Linked DNA regions of Drosophila melanogaster. The protein of the gene in region 1 interacts with the protein of each later gene in a pairwise test. Each region holds a gene or a part of one and is shown in the gene's direction. Other genes may lie near its edges.

Region 1 (5,629 bases):
GTGATGTGGCACCCAAAGTGCTTCACCTGCAGCACCTGCAACTCGCTACTCGTGGACCTCACCTACTGCGTCCACGACGACAAGGTCTACTGCGAGCGCCACTATGCGGAAATGCTGAAGCCCCGCTGCGCTGGCTGTGATGAGGTGAGTCGTCTTTGGCATAACCCCACCTATCCGATCCCTAATTGACAAATATTGTGTGGCACACTTTTGGGGCAACGTCTGCAGATGGTATCTGTGTGTCGCCTGGCAAATCAAGAGTGTCCGTGTGAGTGAGTGCTCGCTGTCACGGGCTCTGGTTTTTATCGCCCGCCGCACGCAGTTCACGTTTATTGCATAGGTGCGGCAATCGCCCTTTCCAAAGGTTATGGCATTTTCATTGAACTTCACTTGGCTGCCTGTGGGAGTCGGGGATCCCGGGGATATCTATCCTCCAGCTCCGCAAATGCAGCGACTCGCGAGTGGCGATGGCAACAAAGAAATGAAGGCAGTTCATTGGCAGCACTGGCTGTTGACGCGTTGTCATCCGTCGAGCGGAAGTTCATTGCGAGTGAGCCGGAAATTTGTGGCATTCGGTTAAGGTTAGAGATTGCTAAAAATTGCTGCAGGTATTCGCAATTTGTTATTGATGTGCACAAACTGCTTTAGCTCGATTGAAAATATCCTTTATCCATTTATTTTGATTTTAAATAGATTGGGGGTGTAATATGCAAGTAAATAAATTTTTTTTATATGCGTGTTGATCGATTTTTAATTAGAAAATGTTGGATAAAGAAATTGCATTGTCTGTCGCCTTTCGGTGTTATTGTACAAAAAACCATGTTTAAATTTATTCAAAATAAATTTAAATTACCATCAGAAACACTTTCGCTTTCGTTGCGAAAAGCAAAATAAACATATGAATATATCAGAGCCCAGATGACCCATTTATTCATATAAATCTATCTATTTTTGCCACAATTTCTAATGACAATCAGATGATGAGAATAAACAAAAGAATACAAAAATAGTTTGGCTTTGTGGGGCAAAGAACACAATTATGCCGCGTTTGACAATAATTATACTGATTCTGAAAACGCAGAAGAGAACCACAGCGAAATCGGCGATAAAGAGCCTCTGAAAGCTGCTGGCAATGTTAGTGTCAGTGCCAAGACGAAATTTATGGCAAACATTTGTGTGCAATCCGCTCGGAGGCGGCGAAATGGGGCGTGGCGACCCTGGCCCCAGGCGCTGGCAATGCCAAAGAAAACTGATTTGCAAACACCAGGAACAGTAAAAGTCATGCCCATAAGAATTACGAATGCTAAAATATATTTTTCCCACTTTCGAGAATACCAAATTTTATTGGCAAAATAAACAAAAGAATTGGGCATTTTATAAACAAAATTGTATCTCAACATTGTACTCTTAAATGTTATTTTTTCTAAAATCGGAGATACGATGTGACCATTAATGCCAAATTAAGCATTTTTATGGAAATTGGCACCTTAGCTCTGTATATTATTGCAGCCAACTGTGCGTCTGAATAATATGTGTGGTATGCAGTATAGAAAGATCATGTTTTTCAGAAAATACTTGATTTTTTATTATTTTAAAATATCAAAAGAAACATTTTCTGATTAATTTTGATAAATTGAATTTTTAAACCTGAATAAAAGGATAGGAAAGAAAAGATCCCTAAATCTTGATACTTGCTTGAGATTAAAAAACTCTTCATTATGTTATCGAAATGACAGTTGCATTTGATTTTCCCTATCCGATTTATGGTCATGTCGCTAACTGTTCTCCCGCACGAAAACGGCGAGCAAAGCAGAAAGTGGCGAAAAGTGTTTTGTGGAAAACAGCAATCGAAGCATAGACCAAAAATAGTTCCCCCCAAACGAAAAGGGGGCGCGGCCGGCGGGGTGTCGACTAAACTGATTAGAAAATCGGCTTTGGCCAATTCCGATTGCTTTGGCATTTGACACGGAGGCAAGGCAGTGCAACAACGGCAGCGGACAGAAGCAGATACATTTGTGTTGCCAAATTGCCAGCGACAAAAGTCGGCGATGTCTTGTCAGCTCTACAGGCCTTTTGCTCTCATCGCTGGCCGTCAATTAGCGCCGTTTGCCATTTGAACGGATTCGGTTCTTGGCGGTTCTCTCGCCGCTGATTCACTTGTTCTCTAGAAATCGGGGGACCCATGGGCATTGGCTGGGGCATTAATCAGTTGCAAGACGATCGATTAGCGGAAAACAAGAGCTCGCCGCCCGAGCAACTGCATCCGCCTGGCGAGTCCGCCCATCTCCGATTCTTCTTGCTTCGCGCTCTCATAAATCGTCTCAAAACGTAGATAAATGAATATATATCGATGATTGGTTCAATGATTTGTGAGCGAAAGTGAAATAAATATTTTTCGAATTACCTAATCGGCTGGCCATTAACGTGAGTGGTGTGAATTTTCGAGTGCGTGGTGAATATATTTTATATAATACGTGTTAGCCGATTCGGTTCTCGTCGACACATACTCTCATTGCATCGGCGAACGTTGGAGGATTCGGATTCCGTTTCGATTCTGGTCATTACGCAATGGCCGCTGAGGAGACGGCGCTAACCGGCGTCGGCGAGCTACTATTCTCGCTGCTAATTGGATACCTAGGTGCCCTGGAATTCGCCTTTGTGGCGCGCCATCTATACCACTGGACTTTCCAACATCCCGGCGATTCTTCTGTAGATGCAGCAGCTGACGCAGAAGAATTGCCTCGCATGCGAGAGCGATTGGATAAGCAGATCAAGGAGGCGGCGGAAAGGGAAGCCCTGGCAGGAACCAATGTCATGCAGGATGGTGTCCTATATGTCAATGGAATACGAGTAGATCCTGCTGGAGATAAAAGACAAGCTTTGGCAGCCGAACTGGCACGTCAACAGCAAATTGAAGCCGATACGAGGCGTCAGCTGGCCGAAGCCGAGGCCAAGCTGGTAGAAGAAAGACTACGAGTCCAGAGGGAGAAAGAGGAATCGGAGGAGCAGCAGAGAAAGCTCGTAGAGGCGGAAAGACAGCGCGAAAGAGAGCAGGCGGAGAAAGAACTGCAGGAACAAAGAGAAGCCGAACGCAGACAGCTAGAAGCAGAAGAAAATCAGCGTAAACAGCGCGAAAACGAGGAGAAAGAACGCCTAGAAAACGAAAGAAGGCTGATAGATGCCGAACGGGAAAGGGAGGAGAATGAGCGAAGACTGCAAGAAGCTGAAGAGCAGCGCGAGCGAGAAGAAAGCGAAAGAAGAATCGTCGTGGCAGAGCGTCAGAGAGAGCAGGCCGAAGCCGAAAAGGAGCGAGCCGAACAACAAAGGATCCTGGCTGAAGCCGAGGCAGCGCAAGCCGAGCGTCGTCTCTTTGATGCCGAGATTCAGCGAGAGCGCGATCAAGCTGACGAAGAAGGGCAAGCACTGAGGGATGCGGAGATCGTAGAGCGTCTTCTGGCAGCAGAAAGAGAGCTCAGTCCAAGCGCTACAGAGAGCGAACTGGAGGAGGATGCTGCCATCGCAGAGCAGTCGCGTCGCCTGATCTCCAGCAGAACTGATCTGGAGCAAAAACAGCGAATGATTGAGGAAAACGCCAGACGCTTTCTTGAGGCAGAAGAGGAGATGGTAATGTTACAACAGCGCCAACTTCAAGCCTCACACAGCAAAGAGGAGGCAGACGAGTATGCTGGCATGGAACCCGTGGTGGAGGAGCTGTGTGTGAAGAAAGTGGCTCCACCCAGGTTTCAGGAGCCTCCAGAAGAACCCATGGTGCATAAAGTGAAAACTCAATTTGGTCAAGGAAGTGGTCCTGAAGACGCCTACTCAGCAAAGTCAAAAACACTCACCTTCCCTGGCGTATCGGATGAAGGATCCTCTCTTGAACCCAAAACTCCGTTCTCCATCCAGCAGTCGTCCTTCAGCACGCAGCCCTCTGATGAGGGCAACAGAATCGAAAGTGAACGCCCAGAACCTGAAGGAGAAGATCAGATACAGGAAGTCCAGTACACCGAGGACTACCTTCGTTCTCTAGATGGCATTAAGAATCGTCCTTTGATGCGAGAGGATGGTTCAGGGAGAAGAAGGGCTTTTAAGAAGCGACGATCCAGTGGAAGCTCGAACTCCTCGCGGGAATCGCGAGCCTCCCGCGACGAAGAACTAAAGATGTTCACCTCGCTAGAGGAGGAGGAGTTGCGCCACGGCGACCGAGAGGACTATAACCCCATCAAGTATACGAGCGAACCTACCCTGAGGGTTAAATCCCACCGACGTCACAAAAGGAGTCCAGCAAAGGATGTTAGACCAACGGCAGAGTCGACCACATCCTTAGAGATGCTCGGTGAGGAGAGCACAAATCCCTGGGGTGAGGTTGTGCCGGAGCATTATAAGGATACCGAGTTTTGGAAGCGGGAAAAAGCGCTCTCCATAGACGAGGAGGAAATCGAACTAGAAAGACCATCCAGGGGAGAGGATGTGGAGGAAGAAGCTACAAATGAGCCAAAATCGTCCTCCTTTGAAGAGGCCACTGAGGCACAAAACGAACAGGCAGTGGCTGCCCTAAAACAACAACTTTCCAAGGAGCAGTTGGTGAGTAAATGAATCTACAAGCCGAGGATCTATATCAATGATTTATTATGTGTGTGTTAGGACAAAGAAGCGGAGAAGGACAACCCGCAAGCAGTGGATACCAGCGACAGCAACAAATCCAATGTAAGTGCGTAGCACAGACACCTGGCATCATTTCTCACCCAATAATTTCGACCACAACCTAATCCACCAATCGCAGACACCACTGCCGCATAACTAACTGTCCTAACTGCTTTACCTCTTTGCTTTTCATATTGCTACTGCTCCCACATTCCGCTTGCTTTTCCGCTTCACCTTTCCCCCAAAAAGCTGCAAACCTCTATCGCAGCAGAGGAGCAATCAAGGGGTGGTTCACCTGGCTTGCGACGCAGTCCACGTATGGATGAAATGGAGCATTATCCGGAGCGCTGGTCCGCCAGCCAGGAGCAGCAGTCAGTGCAACAGCAGCCACCGCGAACAGCACCAGCCATCAATGTCCAGCAGCCGGATACGGCTCCTTGGCGGGATCAGTACGGATTGCTAATGGAAGGACTTAGCGATTTCTACGACTTTACCGCATCCGTAAACCCATCGAGATCCCGTTCGGCATCGCGAAATCCCTCACCAGCTCCCAAGAATGTGGCAAATTTGATGGATGGGGACACGGAGCGGTCGCTGGAGGTTTACGACGACACTCAGGAAGGTGTAATGGCAGGCGAACTAAACTGCGAGTCTGTACTTCAGCTTCTGGAGTCGAACTTGAATGAAACCGAATCTACAAATGACCAACTTCAAGTGCAAACTGTAGCCGATGATGCCAGGGATGGTAAATCGATCTTACCCATGGTTCACGAACCACTTGAAAGCTCTGCACTTGGTGCTGTTTTGGAAGAAAGGGGACGGGAGCCTTCTGTCGGAAGGATTCAATCCAGATCCCGCTCCCGCTCCCGTTCACCACTTCCCACCTCAGAGAACCTAGAAAAAAGCATTCATAAGCGCAGGGAGCGCTTGATCAAACAGAACGATGAGCTCGCCGAACGTCTATCCCACTCAAGTCCAGAAGATT
Region 2 (4,812 bases), on another chromosome or scaffold:
TGGTGGATAAGGAGCGAAAGCTCAATTCCTCTCTACGAGAAGATTTTGACAAACTGGAACAAACCAAACTCGATCTCGAAGAGCAGCTTCGAGCCAAGAAAGTAGAAATCGATCGCCGATCCAAGGAGCTTGGCGAAGTGACCAAGGATTGCGAAAATATACGATCCGATCTGGTAAGTTTTATTTATTTAACGCCTTCACTTTTGTATTCTATTATATTTTATTCTATACCAGGAAGCTCAAACTAATGATTTCCTAAAAGAAAGGGAAACTTTGAACTTGACTATATCCGATCTTCGGTTGCATAATGAGCAATTGCTAGAAACCTCGAAAAATTATCTATCAGACATAACAGCAGCAAATAATTTAAATCTCGAAATGAAGAAGAATCTTCACGATCTCACAAAAGAGTGCAAGAGCTTACGTTCCGATCTGGTAATAATTAATCTGGTAATCTATCTGGTTGATTACAATATAGGTAATTAAAATTTTTCAGCAATCCAAAGAAGAATATTTCCAAACGCAAAAGCAACTGTTGGATGAAACAATTTCTAATCTAAAGGAGGAAAACCGCAAGATGGAGGAAAAGTTGAGTTCGGGTAACAAGGCGCTCAAAGAGGATTGCGAAAAGCTCCGTTCAACATTGGTAATATTAGACTTGTCTTTGTAGGTTATTCGGTCGCTAATGAAATATTTATTTAGGAATCAAAGGAACTTATACTGCAACAGAATAAACAAGAGTTAGAGGAAAGGCTGACTGTTATTAATGAGAAGAATGGGAAAAACGCACTACTTGACGCCCAGTTGAAATCCAATGAAACCGCCTTTACATCACTGCGAAAGGCATGGATTAAGCAAAGTTTAGCCATAGAAGCGGCCAATAAAAGAAGCCTCGAGATGGAACAGAAGGTTGATAAACGTACGAGGGAGTACGAAGAACTACGATCAACTCTGGTAGAATAATTGCAATCAAAGGCTCTTATAAAATAGCTTAATGTTTTCTCTTTAAATCGCCTAGAAAACCAGGGAAATCAACTTTCGATCGGAGAAGGAACGCATGGACGGCACCATCTCTAGCCTGTTAGAAGACAAGCGTAATCTTGAGGAGAAGTTGTGCACAGTCACCGAGCTCCTGGCTAAGCTAAAGCGCGAACTGCCGGCTTTACACACGCAAAAAGTGAACGGAGGCGATGTGTCCATTGAGTTGAATTCCTCGAATGGATCGCCGACTCCTGCAGCTGTTCCAGCAACAAAGAAGCCCCTGGACTGCAATTCCGCTGAATGTGTGCCAAAGGTACGTATGATCTTCTAAATTTCAAGCATGTAATATTTTTTTTATTTCTCTCGTAAAGAAATCCAGCAGCCTAGAGACTGCGGAGCGGAAGAATCGACGGATGACGGCCTACGATGAGAACCGTAAGCAGTTTTGCTGAAACGACTTACGTGACGGCGGAACTACGACCGTTCCTTTAGGTAAGTTAAGGTTTGCTTGGCCGCGAAATCGTCTAAACTTTATGTGGTTTTAACTAATATTGCAGGTGGCAATTGCCACTGCGAGCAGCGGAGCTGCAAACAAAGACTGAGTTCGGACTGGAGGCAAAACGTTGAGTTCAACGATGATAAAAAAGATGATTAATGTTATCCAAGTATTAGGGATTTCTTTTGTTAGGTGTTATCTTGCAAACGGTGGAATTCCACATCATAAAGTTTTCTATTTATATTTACGCCCTAAGTATTTGTCAAATACTATCAATACAAAAATTACAAAAACAATCGTGATCGTAGTATTTAAATTTAAATCTGTATTATGCTGGTTTTTGTTTAATAGTTAAATTCGATAAATAGTTAAATATTGTTAATTAAGAAATGTTTCCTTCATCATGTGTAATAATATTTGGTTCATATGTATAGCATTGAATAAACTATTTACATTTTCTTAATGTTAAAATCAGATTCGCATAAGTTGCTGGTTCTAATAATAAAAGACATAAATTACTTAAATGTAAATCTAAATAAGCATAACGCTTCTTGTTTGAATTCCCGATTGCACCAATCGATAAGTCGATAGTAGCGCAAATACATATTCTAGTGTTGTGCATTGGAAAATTGACGGCCGCTTGAGTGTTGTGTACGGCGTCAGTGTTGAATAGCTGCGGACGCAAAACTACGTAAAATTACGACAAAAAAACAGCGCCCCGCGAAAAAAGGCCATGAACTCGGCAATCAAGGTAGGTTCAGCCGCTCCACCACATCCGCCGGCAGCTCCGACCGCGTTGATCCCGTCGCCAGCGCCTCCGCGCGTTGCAAGCGAGAAAAAGGCGGCGCGGGAGAGAGTCGAGAGTCATTCGTTTGTCTCACTCCTGCGAGTGGGAAATTTGTTGTTCCACCGTGAGTGGGCCGGCGGGCGGTGGGCAGGGGCGGTGCGTTTGTTTTGAATTTGCACGCGGTAACAACAAACTGACTCCGGATGCAAATCCGCATGCACTTGCAGGTGGGGGAGATATTCACGGCCGCCGGACAGGCGTTCAGCAGACTGGGCGATCTAACCATGCAGCTGCATCCCAATGCGGAGTCGCCATCGGGGTAAGTTGATTCTATGCGGTGGAGTCGCGAGTTTTGTGGACACTAATCGGAGTGTTTCTGTGTGCCTTGTTCCCTCGCCACGGCTGCAGGAAGTGGACGGACGAGGAGATCGACATGCTGCACTCGTCCATAATGCGCTTCTCCGACGACCTGACCAAGATCAGCCTAAGCATCAAGAACCGCACCGTGTAAGTGATCCTGTGCTCCTGGCGAGGGAACCGGCTGCCCAGTGTGTACGTGCTAGTTTTAATTGACCTTCCCCATTGCAGTTCTCAGATCCGCCAGGCGCTGAAGAAGAAGGCCTTCGAGGACGCCGGCATTCCCGCCAAGCAAGTGCCCGTCCAGCAGGTGCAACACGTTCTCCAGACGCTGCCACAACAGCAGCCGCAGCAGCCCCTTCAGCAGCCACCTCCTCAAGTATTCAAGTCACAGCCAATCGTGCAGCACGTACAGCTGGTGGCGCAGCCAAAGCAGATCATCCTGCATCCACAGTCTAATACAACTACGACGGGCACGACGGTGACTGTTAAGCAGTACCAGCAGATGCAGAAGGCTGCGGCATTAGCGGCAGCCCAGGCTGCAGCCTCGACGGCCAACAACACGCCCACCATCACGGAGAACATCATTATCCAGCAGCCCACTTCGACTACGGCGACAGTGGTGCAGCAGCCACATATGGTGTCCACCTGCTCGTCGACGCAGATCGTGGTGCCCGTTGTGTCGGCAGTGTCCACTGTTCCAACAGTACTCTCGCCCACGGTGGTGATTGCCGACGATGTGGTTAGCACCTCCAATCCTCCAGCGGCAGCGGCGACAGTAGGATCGCCAGCAGGGGCGCCAGCAGGCTTAAAGTGCGGACCAGACGTGTCCATGACCCTCAATCGCATCAATGTCCAGGAGAACGAGGTGGACGTGGAGGAGTGCCTGCCCGCAGAGGTGGTCAAGCTGGATTTTGTCAGCGAGGAGGTGGCCGGGTGAGGTTCGAGCCCTCGGAACGGGCTGGACTTCTTCTACTAGATCTCCGGCCGCAGAACGAATCACGTAACTTGGAACAGAACCGCTACAAATCCAGATCGAGAACTCTTAAGCAAAAAGGTTGAGATGCCGCCCTAGCCCTAAGTCTAAACTGTTAAGTGTTGTCATATTTGATATACCCTGAAATCACCTTGTTCCGGGCCCCGGATGACAAATGAATTGTGCGATGTGGAGGACGAGTCTGTGGATCGCCAGCCACAGAGCGTAGATATTAATTGCGGAGCGTATATGCGCCGCCTAGACTTAAATTTACGCAAGACACAATAGTGCAAAGTACATAACGACGATCGTGTAAGTTGAGAGTGAATAAACGAGCATTATTTTAAGATTCGGCGATCTCTGGGATTTTATTGGAGTTAGGAAAGCCCAAGGAGCGTAGAAATTTAGTTATTTGCAATGGCTTCTACAATCTCATTGCTGTAATTTGTACTTCATACTTTTATTTTGATCAGACTGTATTATAAAAGCATATATATAATTATATTTTTAAAGCACCCAATGCAAACTCAATTGTGTTTCTAATGGTCCGCTAAATTATATTGCATTTTATCTTTATTTGAATGTACCCATCCAATTTATGGGACCTATTTTATAAACCTTTCCTTTTAAATGCACACCACGTATTTTAAATTCATCCAATTATTGTACAATGAAGTCTCGAGAAATTTCGAATGCATTTTCAAATTTCGTTCTGCTCATAATTGCGCTCGCAACCCATACATTGCCATTCGCATGTCGGATTTCAAATCCGCACTTTCAGAATTTCCAAAGCGGGTAGCAAGAAGAAGAGCGGCTAATAAAGATACGGATACATCAACAACAACAGTCGGAAATCCATTGTTCCCCACAAAATGAGACTTCGTTTGCAAGTCCTGGTGGCCCTGTTAACCTGCTCGTCCATTTCCGTCTCACTGGCCTACAAACCGGTGGTCATACTCCATGGAATTCTATCAGGAGCCGAATCGATGGCCTCTCTGGTCCGGGAAATCGAAGAGGTTTGTTTTTCGATTCCCCTTTGTTATTGTTTACAGTGGCAAGGTCGAATTTGACGCAAACAACGCAGTAGCACTGATAAACTCATTTCGTCCGTTTGTAGTTTCATCCTGGCACTATCGTCTACAACTGCGACAAGTTCAATGGATGGTACAGCTTGGAGAACGCCTGGCGACAGGTCGATCAGGTTAGGGATTATCT
Region 3 (4,525 bases), on another chromosome or scaffold:
ACACTCTCGCACACAAATACACATACTGTGACACACTATATACATATATGTAGTTGTGCAGCTGCGGAAAGTATGCAACATTTTTGTACGAAAACGTGGTCGCACGGCCAAGATGTTGAAAATAGTGCCAGCGAAAAGTGGGGAAGAGAACTGTGATGGGGTGGCCTTAGTTAATTCGCAGTCCACAACAATGCAACAGCAACAACACCAACATCAACAACAACAGCAACAACAACATCTGTGGCAATTGTAGCGCCAGCTTTTCTATTGTATTATGACAGCAGCTGCACCTGCAAGTATGCAGTGATTGTGATTCTTTGCTTTCATTTTTTTTGCTAGTTCACTCGGCTGCGAAACCCCTTGAAAAACAGTAAACAAAGAGCAGGACAATAGTGGACGGGTGGTGGGTGGTGGGCGGCTGGGCGGACAGATGGGTAGGTGGTAATGCCCTGCCATGGCATGTGTTCATTGTCCAAGAGCAGTTCATGCCTGGTTACGCATCCCTATGTGTGTGTGTGTGCCAGTGAGTGTGTGTGTGTGTGGTGGGGTGCAGGACAGGTCGGGGGGCAGTTGGCATATCAACTGGTCGGACATGGTGTAAACACGTTTAATGTTGTTGCCATTGTCGTTGCCGTTGCCATTGCCATCGCATGGCTGCAGTTGCTCCTCCTGGCAAGCTGGCTGGCTGGCGAGCCCTCGGAGTCACGGAGCCATGCAGCCATGGAGCCATGGAGCCACCTAGCCACGGAGCTCGTCCTCTTCTGGCGCCGTCTCCTTTGCCACGTTTAATTTAATCTACTGGCCAAAGCTGCAGCCGCTACCTTGACATGGTCTGCACTTCAATCTGCATGCACGGCGTACAGTGGTGCCTGGCTATATCCAAACTGTTAGCAGCCAACAAGCTAGTTTCGAATTGTGTCTAATTTGTGTAGAAGCATCACAGCACAGTCAGGCGTTTTAAGGGAAGCTAATATCTTCTATTTAGGATCAGTACAATAAACAATACAAATAATAACAGTTATATACTTTAAGCGGTATCCACTGTAGTTTGCGTCCTGGCTGCTCGAGTGCACCGCAGGTCCATTTAACTTAGCTTTGGCAGTGGCAGTTAGTAGTAGTAGTAGTAGTGGCAGTGGCAGCGGCAATGGGGTTCCAGCTAGCTGGCCACCTTCTCCGCTTCCTCGACTTGGTGCATCACTCAAATGCCGGGGAGCCCCGCAGGCCCCCAAACGAGGCGACAGGAATGCGTGTGTGTAGCAGAGCGTGTGCAAGTATGAGTGTGGGCAACGTAATTTGCATGGTCAGCTTGCAGTTTTGGGACACACAGAGTGGCAAGTTGTGCCTCGCTCTCGTCCCTGGCTTAATTGCATGCAGGAATAGCAACTGCAGGAGCAGCCTCATCAGCATCGGCAACTTCATCCAATTGCCGCTGGAGCTGCGACCCACAGATCCATACAATTTCCGGGCTGTAAGCGATGCGGCTCTTTAAAGTTCACTTATTAAGTTGCAAGAATAGCAGGAAAATTCAACCAAAAGTGGGCCAGTTTGAAAAATATCAAGAATATGCCAACGATACTCACCTACGCTCTGCCGGGTGATTATGCTGCACGTGGTTCGACATGGTCCGTGCTCGTTATGCGGAACATTACAACAACAAAAAAAAAAAATTTAATATATATGTAGGTACGCAAAAAGTGCTGGATTTCCTTTTCATTTGTTTTCCACACACACTAGACAGACATTCGAGTTGAAGTCAAAATCAGACAATGTTCCCTCCATATGGCTCCATATCACATTGGTCGAAAAAATGGCAAGCTTACAAATGGCGCAGTCCCCGGCTGCATAAACGATGTCATTTTTTGGATTGCCCAATTTTTTTTTAGGTAGCTTGCGAATCATTTGCAAGCGATTTAATTTCAATTGCATGGGCGTTAATCAAAGGAAACAAAAGCCAACACGGGAAAAAGAACAAAGAAAACGCTAGTCCACTTATTCGACAATGTAAAAGAAAGCAGAGAGTTACTATTAATGCAGCAAAAAATGAGCAGGAGCAGTTCAAATAAAATCTTTCCAGTAATTTTCGATTCATGGACCAAAAACCGTAAACAAAAAAATCGTTCTATTTTACATAGTGAAAGTATGTTTTCATCTATTTTTTATCAATCTGAGCAAAACTACATATAAACATAAATTATTTATATAATATTTATATTAAATTATTCCAAACATTTTATTATACCATTTATATATCGTCATCCTTATCAAATCTTATATCTAAATGTTTTTTTTTTTAATGTGTAATGTGTTTTTCCTATTTGGTTTTTTGTGTGCTTTGAATTTAGGCGCGCAACAAAATGAATAGCAACTGTTTGGTATTTTTATGTCAGATTTTGTACCAACTAAAAATCGTTGACATCTACTACGTTTCAACGTCTGGCCACTCTGCACGAATGCAAAAACAAACTGAAATAATTTTTTAATACCATTTTTCTTCTTGGCGCGAATTGGCTACAAAAAAAATGAATGGATCGCGTAAAATAAAGTCCATGAAGACGATTCGCCTTGGCGACGTTCTATACGACGACCAAAAACGACTTCTAACGCTGTGCCGCAGCTGCGAATGCCACTTTATGACGCTCCAATCGTTCCAACGCCACCTAGCCGATTGCCCCGGAGTAAAATACATAGTAACGCCGATCGAACCGCTGGCATTTGATGATGCCAATCGGGAAACGAGACTGGTGAATGGCAGACAGGAGGTAGGCAGCTAAGGGAGCTCCATGATCCGGCGTTGCCCTGAAAACTTCCTGAGAATCCTTTTGATTGAACTCACTTCTTGCAGATTCACATCTACGACCTGGAGGCGGTTAAGAAGAACACCAACACGGCCATCGATTGGGAGGCAGAGCTGGAGGATCCACGCTGGTACACCAATCCCAAGCCCACCGTGCAGACCATACCAAAGACAAATTCCAAGGAAAATATAGTAAAGGAGGATGTAGTGCCGCTCGCCAAGGAGCCTCAGGAACCGGAAGGGGTGCCTGCGAAACGTCCGCGTAGCCCTCCCACCACCCGACGTACCATTCTGACCTCCCAGCAGCAGCGCAGATCCCGTGCCTGCTTGACTTCCCCTCAACCGCCAGCAGTAAAGATGAAAAAGGCCATCATTCTGGTGCCCACTGTGCTGGAAGATCTGAAGCGATTGCAGGACACGGAGAAAAAGGAAAGGATTCCAGAGGCACCACCAGCTCCTGTACATCCTGTAAGGTCATTGCAATCTCGTGCTACCGGGACAACGCAGTCAACATCTCAATTGGTACCCATGAAATTTTCTCCTGCATCGAAGCTTATTATACCAGTCTCTTCAAGGATATCTGAAGTACCAGAACCTCCCAAGACGCCCGAGAAACCAGTTCCTACCATAACAAGCAAATCAACTCCTCCATTGGATGGCACCCAGAAAATCCTAAACAAACTCAGAGCATGCGGTGTGGAGGTGAAGCGAGCAAGTACCCAATTGAATGCCACGACTGAGCTAAATCCAACCAAAAATCAAGAGACCTTGGACATCATGAGAAAACTGCAATCCAAGGGCATCAGATGCACCAAAGTAAGAAAATCGTAGTTGTATTCGCCGTAGTGTAAGGATGGTGCCATTAAATGTGCCTCTGGAGGCGAGGATTTAGCAATATAACTTTATTTAATTTAAATGGAGATTAATAAATTCCCGGATAGCGTTTATAACTTTAATAGCAAGCGAGTCTCTTTATTATCAAATCGCTTAATTTTAAATGTTTTATTTTGGTTTTTTTGCTCAAGCAGTGTGACCTTTTGATGCGACAACGTTATCGATTTAATATATCGACTATACACTAGTGGTGGCTATTTAGCTTATAAATGTATTGAACTATATTAAATAATTAAAACTATATATCACTCAAACAATGCCGTTTAAATACTTTGAAGACGGTAATCACATGTTCCATACAAAATGTTAACAGTCCTAGCTTTTTTTATGTTGTCCATTTATGTAGCTGAAAAGTTGGCATCACTGTGTAAGAAGAAGAAGCAGCTTGTTGATTTTTGGTGCCGCACGCGTTTCGGTCGAAAGTAATTGGAAATATTTGTGCTTGCGCCCGGCGTTATATATATTTTGTAGTACTCGAAACACTGCCGAATCCAAATCCAAAATTCGCGTGTGCACACCCACCTGCCGAGGCGGTACCAATTAAAAGGTAGGTCAGCTGACGACGATGGCAGCCAATTCGGGCTTACATAATTTGGGGACAGAATATTTATTTTGCCACCTTAGATTTGGCATTCAATGCAGTGAAAATGACATCATTTTGAAATTTTTAGAACCGCTTGTGTTTTGTTTGGTGAATTTTATAATATTTGCAATATTTCGGCTGCAGTTGCATCATTGACAGCGAACCTTAAGTTTAGTTCTCTGTAAAGGTCACCAAGCCCAGACTTAAAAAACAGATGTTTTTTAACAATCTTGGTACGTCCCACTACTAAAGCA
Region 4 (4,624 bases), on another chromosome or scaffold:
GAATGCGTGGCCGCCGAGGATGAGGAGATCACCCGCATCGTGAATGCCGCCCATGAGGATCTGTACGCCTGCGGCGTTGTGGCCGCCCAGACATCCGCCGAAATTGCCTCCGATGTGAGTGCCGCCACCCAGCAACTGGTCTACGGTGGCTACAGCCTGGCCAGCACCTACAACAAATGCAACTCGTACAAGAACTCCGTGCTGAAGCAGACCTGCTTGGCCAAGTTCTATGTCCAGGCCACCGTCTATTTGGTCAGTGCGCGCTCCTCCATCAAGACCATCCGTCAGTCGACCAGCGAACGCATCCCGGACGTCTTCGCCGATGGCAATGTGTGCACCCACTCCGCATCCTCGCAGGCGGTGCTCGGTCTCCAGGAGGTGAACAACAACATCGACGCCTGCGTCTACCGTCGTCGCTAGGTGAACACAAACTTATTTACCTGGATTCTGCAAATAAAAATTATGCATGTTCTATGCCAAATGTTATTTAGTTATTTTTTTTTTTTTTGCAGTGTTGCTTGTTGCAGTGTGATTTGTGTGCTAACATTTTAGAAAGAATTTATTTTAAAGTTCAATTTTTGTGTACGAAAGTATAAATAAATAACGGAGTTAATCGAAAAACTTACATTATTATACATAGAATGAAAATACAAAATTTTAAATTCAAACCGGTTTTCCGGTCTGTTATCTGGCATGGTCACCTTAACCGTACGCTAGTTTCAATTTCAAGTGGAACCAGTTTCGGTTCCGCACTGTTAAACGGCAAGATGTTCGGATTGCTGCGACACCTGTTCAAATTTCAATTTCTTTTCGTTGTGGCAGCCGTTCTGGGCGGAATTTATCACACAGAGATTAGGCAGTTCCTGCGTCGCCAAACGGACAACTACCTGGACCAAGCTGGGCAGGATGCGAGCATTCCCCTGGCGTTCCAAGCTGGTGACGATATCGGCACGCTCTTTACACCGGCCGAGTTGGCCAAATTCAATGGCGAGGAAGAGGGTCGTCCGCTTTACCTGGCTCTACTCGGTTCCGTCTTCGATGTGAGCCGCGGCATTAAGCATTACGGATCCGGCTGCAGCTACAACTTCTTCGTGGGTCGCGACGCCTCCGTATCCTTCATTTCCGGTGATTTTGAGACGTACGATCCGGAAACGGCCGACGATGTGTTAACCCTAAAGCCGGACGACCTGATTGGTTTGGCCGGATGGCGGGATTTCTATCAAAAGGACTACGTCTACAAGGGACGGGTAATTGGGCGCTTCTACGATGAGAAGGGCGCCCTGACCACCTATCATCATAAGTTTCTGGAGCTGCTGGAGCAGGCACGAGATGCCAAGCGACAGGTGGAGGAGCTGCGTGCCCGGTATCCCGGCTGCAATATCGAGTGGAGCGAGGAGCGCGGCACTCGCGTCTGGTGCACCACGACCAGTGGCGATGGCAAGGAGCGCTCCTGGATCGGTTATCCGCGCAAGCTGTACAGTCGCGGCAACAAGAGTTTCCAGTGCGCCTGTGTGCCGGATGCGGAGCTGGACGAGATCGATGCCGGCGGCAAGGTGGCTCACGGTGATGCCATGCTGAAACCCTACGACAATTGCGAGCCACAGGCCAGGGAGTGCTTCTACAGGGTGTAGCAGCAGGGCCGGGATTTGTAAATAGTAATTAGTGCATTTGGATCAATAAATTATTAGGTGGAGTTAACATGGCTGGCGGAACTAGTTCCGGTTCTCTTCTGTTAAATTTTTAGTTGCGCTACATCGACAACAACAATTGGGAAATGTTGACATTCAAGCTAAATACTTGAGCACACTTATTTCTATCTGTAAAACCAAACCATTTATTTGCTATCAACAGCTCAACTTTATTTAAATCGTTGGATATTATTTGTTGTATCTGTAAATCAATACCCTTTAATAGACATACCAATGAACGGGACTTGGTTCTCTTTTCAACTTTAGCGAGGCCGCACTGCCTTAACAGTAACATTTCACACTTAAAAGCTGCTGTTAAGACCGTTAGCTGTGCTGTTAGGCGCATATCTTGTTTACAAGCGGTTTAATTTTATAAATATAGCTTTGTTTTAATAAATATCCAAGAAATTTAAACTATTACACATGGACACATTGCCGGGAAGTTCCTCCGCCCTGAGCACAGACGACGAGCAAACTGCCCTGATTTCCCCCACTGTGGTGGCCGGCTTAAAGAACCTGGGTGCCATCATTTCGCTGCCACTCACCAAACTGCTCATTGCCAATTCCTTGAAACTGACGCTCCATCCAGATGCCAGTGAGTTGGAAGCTGGAAATTGGTGTTTCGCGTAGACCTAATCCTAATATGTACACCCCCACAGCCATTGCTCCGGTGCCCGAGCTGTATGCCAAGAACGCCGCCTGCGCCAAACAGAGCGAGTACGCGGTGGTCACCCTCTTCGCCCTGGGCACCAAGCACGGCTGGGATGGCCTTCAATTGCGCCAGCAGCTGGAGCAACTCAACCTCGATGCAGCTGCCGTCGACGAGCTGAGTCGCGTTTACGAGGACAGCCGCAAGGATCTAATTCTCCGCCAACTGCAAATAGGCCATAGCTTTCCGCACATTACCGACATCCAGTGGCGCATCGTGTGCGACGTGAAGTCTTCCACCTCGGACTGCAGCACGGGCGCGGCCTGCTTCCACATCAATCTGGGCAACTTTCGGCAGAGCAGCGGCGAGCGGGTGACCATCGTTGAGTTTGTCTGCAATGCCGAGGAGCTGCAGTCGCTAATCAATCGTCTCAAGGAGATCGAGCGGCACTGCCAACAGATGGCCGTGGTCTAGGGAAACAAGCTCTTCAAATTCTTATCGATTATATTTCGCAGCATATAACACCAGCATTGTCGGCTATATACAGTGTCGGAACAGGAAACCTAAACAGTTAACACAGTCATCATCGCTTAAAAGGCTACGGCTTCATCATTTGGAGTCCAACTCCAATGGCAACCACTTCGTTGATCATCCGCGTCAATGGGCAACCTTGTGCGGCGGCGGCACAAGCAGCTTCATCAGCTGCCCATAGTGATTCGGCGCTGTGCTATAGATGGTGCCCGAGAAGCGGGTGCTGTCGTTCTTCTCGGCGGAAATCACTGTGCAACGGTTCTGTTCCGAAAGCCGCATGTTTAGACCACGGAAGCGTGAGTCCAGCCTGTATAGATTAGCCCCTTCCCGTGGTAGAAAGAATGGACGTCCGCTAAACGGATTCATGAAGTCCGCCCAGTAGCCGTACGATAGCAGGCGATCGCACATCTCCCGCGCTGCCAGGACAAACTGCAAAGGTAGTTGGCATTAGTTATGTATGTAGATATACTCGTTTAGATAATAGGTAAATACCAACAAACTAACTTCTCTGTATTCTCATTCATCAACCCAAATCTAAAACTTATTACAAATGATTGAAAATGTTATGGCTTACTTTAAAATTGGGTGCCAAACTTAAGGAAGGTCAACCCACCTAGCTTTCAACGTGCTAAACTGGTTTGATTGTATATAAACAAATGATCAGAGCAATAACGAGGTCATTCCTCCAATTCATCCAAATACACTGCAGTGTGATTTCCCGCTACAGTGTGGATGCGTGAATAAAACTGATTTCTCACCTTGGCAGCGCCCATTTCGATGTCTCCTTCGTGGCTGAGAACAAGCATGGTGATGTTTATGCACTGCTGTGCGACGACGGGTACCGGGAAGATCTCCAAGAGTGGCACACGGATAAGCAGGGGACACTTACAGCAGGTGAATTCCAGGCGCGATTTGTCCGTATTGGGACCCTTGTGAAAGTTAACCAGGTGGCCAAGCGGCTCGAGCAGACCGACGGTGGTGCTGTCGCCCTGCCAGGCGGGCCCAATGCCATTTGGCAGATAGAAGCGATTGCCTCTTTCGGCGGTCAGTTCCCAGTTGGGCTCACTCTCCAAACTATTTAGCTCATCGTCGTCGTCGAGATCCCGCGACTTGACGGTCTTAAAGTATCCGCCGGCATCCGACGGTGGGCCATTTCGCTTGGAGTATCTAGCCACCGGAATGATGGCCGTGTTGGTCACCTTGGTGCTCAGTAGGTCGTTCAGTCTGTTGGATCCGCGATGTACGGTATGTGAAATGGACAGGGATGGCGCCCAGATGGTACCCAATACGCGACTCAATGATCGAGACATTATTATATCATATGCTTCTGTAAATGCGTAGAATCTGCTGGCAATCAGTGCTATTTTGGATGCGAGATGCAATGCGACGACAATGGTGCTTACCTTGGATGGCGGAACTGGATTTGGAGTGCTGTGCTCTGCAGACGCTTTCAAATAATGCCGGATTTTATGTGGCTTTAGAATTTTACGTTGAATTTTGTTTTCAGATTAAATCTATTGCCTATTTGAAAGTAGAGACGACTAGTTTTTTTTGACGCACAGCTGCTACTGGATTCCTACGTCGTTCCGTTTTTCTGTTTTTCTAAACTAAAATTTTCAATATCGACAAACAGCTGATCCCATTCGATAGTATCGCCTATATTAGGGATGAGAAAAGTAATATGGTAAATAATTAATGTTATATATATTTCAAAACATTAAAGTAAATTTCGTTGTTGCTACTTGAGCTTAACTGT

What was found.
Region 2: the proteins of Lmpt (region 1) and CG33695 interact in a two-hybrid assay, tested with the Drosophila melanogaster proteins (one large-scale study listed by BioGRID).
Region 3: the proteins of Lmpt (region 1) and CG10265 interact in a two-hybrid assay, tested with the Drosophila melanogaster proteins (one large-scale study listed by BioGRID).
Region 4: the proteins of Lmpt (region 1) and CG12106 interact in a two-hybrid assay, tested with the Drosophila melanogaster proteins (one large-scale study listed by BioGRID).

Annotation. Positions count from the first base shown.
Region 1 is NT_037436.4:16,897,485-16,903,113, forward strand, and holds the start of Lmpt (limpet), read left to right. Parts: upstream 1-1,930; 5' UTR 1,931-2,568; coding exon 2,569-4,584; intron 4,585-4,644; coding exon 4,645-4,707; intron 4,708-4,893; coding exon 4,894-5,629.
Region 2 is NT_033779.5:11,275,903-11,280,714, forward strand, and holds CG33695 (uncharacterized protein), read left to right. Parts: upstream 1-2,118; 5' UTR 2,119-2,210; coding exon 2,211-2,228; intron 2,229-2,248; exon of another isoform or gene 2,249-2,467; coding exon of another isoform or gene 2,468-2,491; coding exon 2,492-2,583; intron 2,584-2,672; coding exon 2,673-2,771; intron 2,772-2,852; coding exon 2,853-3,561; 3' UTR 3,562-3,945; downstream 3,946-4,812. Other genes in the region: cana (CENP-ana), read left to right, coding at 1-173, 235-435, 497-646, 703-954, 1,019-1,294, 1,353-1,433; Ppt2 (Palmitoyl-protein thioesterase 2), read left to right, coding at 4,470-4,613, 4,715-4,812.
Region 3 is NT_033778.4:14,991,746-14,996,270, reverse strand, and holds CG10265 (uncharacterized protein), read left to right. Parts: upstream 1-2,435; 5' UTR 2,436-2,519; coding exon 2,520-2,759; intron 2,760-2,842; coding exon 2,843-3,625; 3' UTR 3,626-3,748; downstream 3,749-4,525.
Region 4 is NC_004354.4:9,191,925-9,196,548, forward strand, and holds CG12106 (uncharacterized protein), read left to right. Parts: upstream 1-1,973; 5' UTR 1,974-2,111; coding exon 2,112-2,283; intron 2,284-2,347; coding exon 2,348-2,811; 3' UTR 2,812-2,994; coding exon of another isoform or gene 2,995-3,297; 3' UTR 3,298-3,409; downstream 3,410-4,624. Other genes in the region: CG12057 (uncharacterized protein), read left to right, coding at 1-420; CG12056 (uncharacterized protein), read left to right, coding at 768-1,631; CG12118 (uncharacterized protein), read right to left, coding at 2,995-3,297, 3,627-4,178.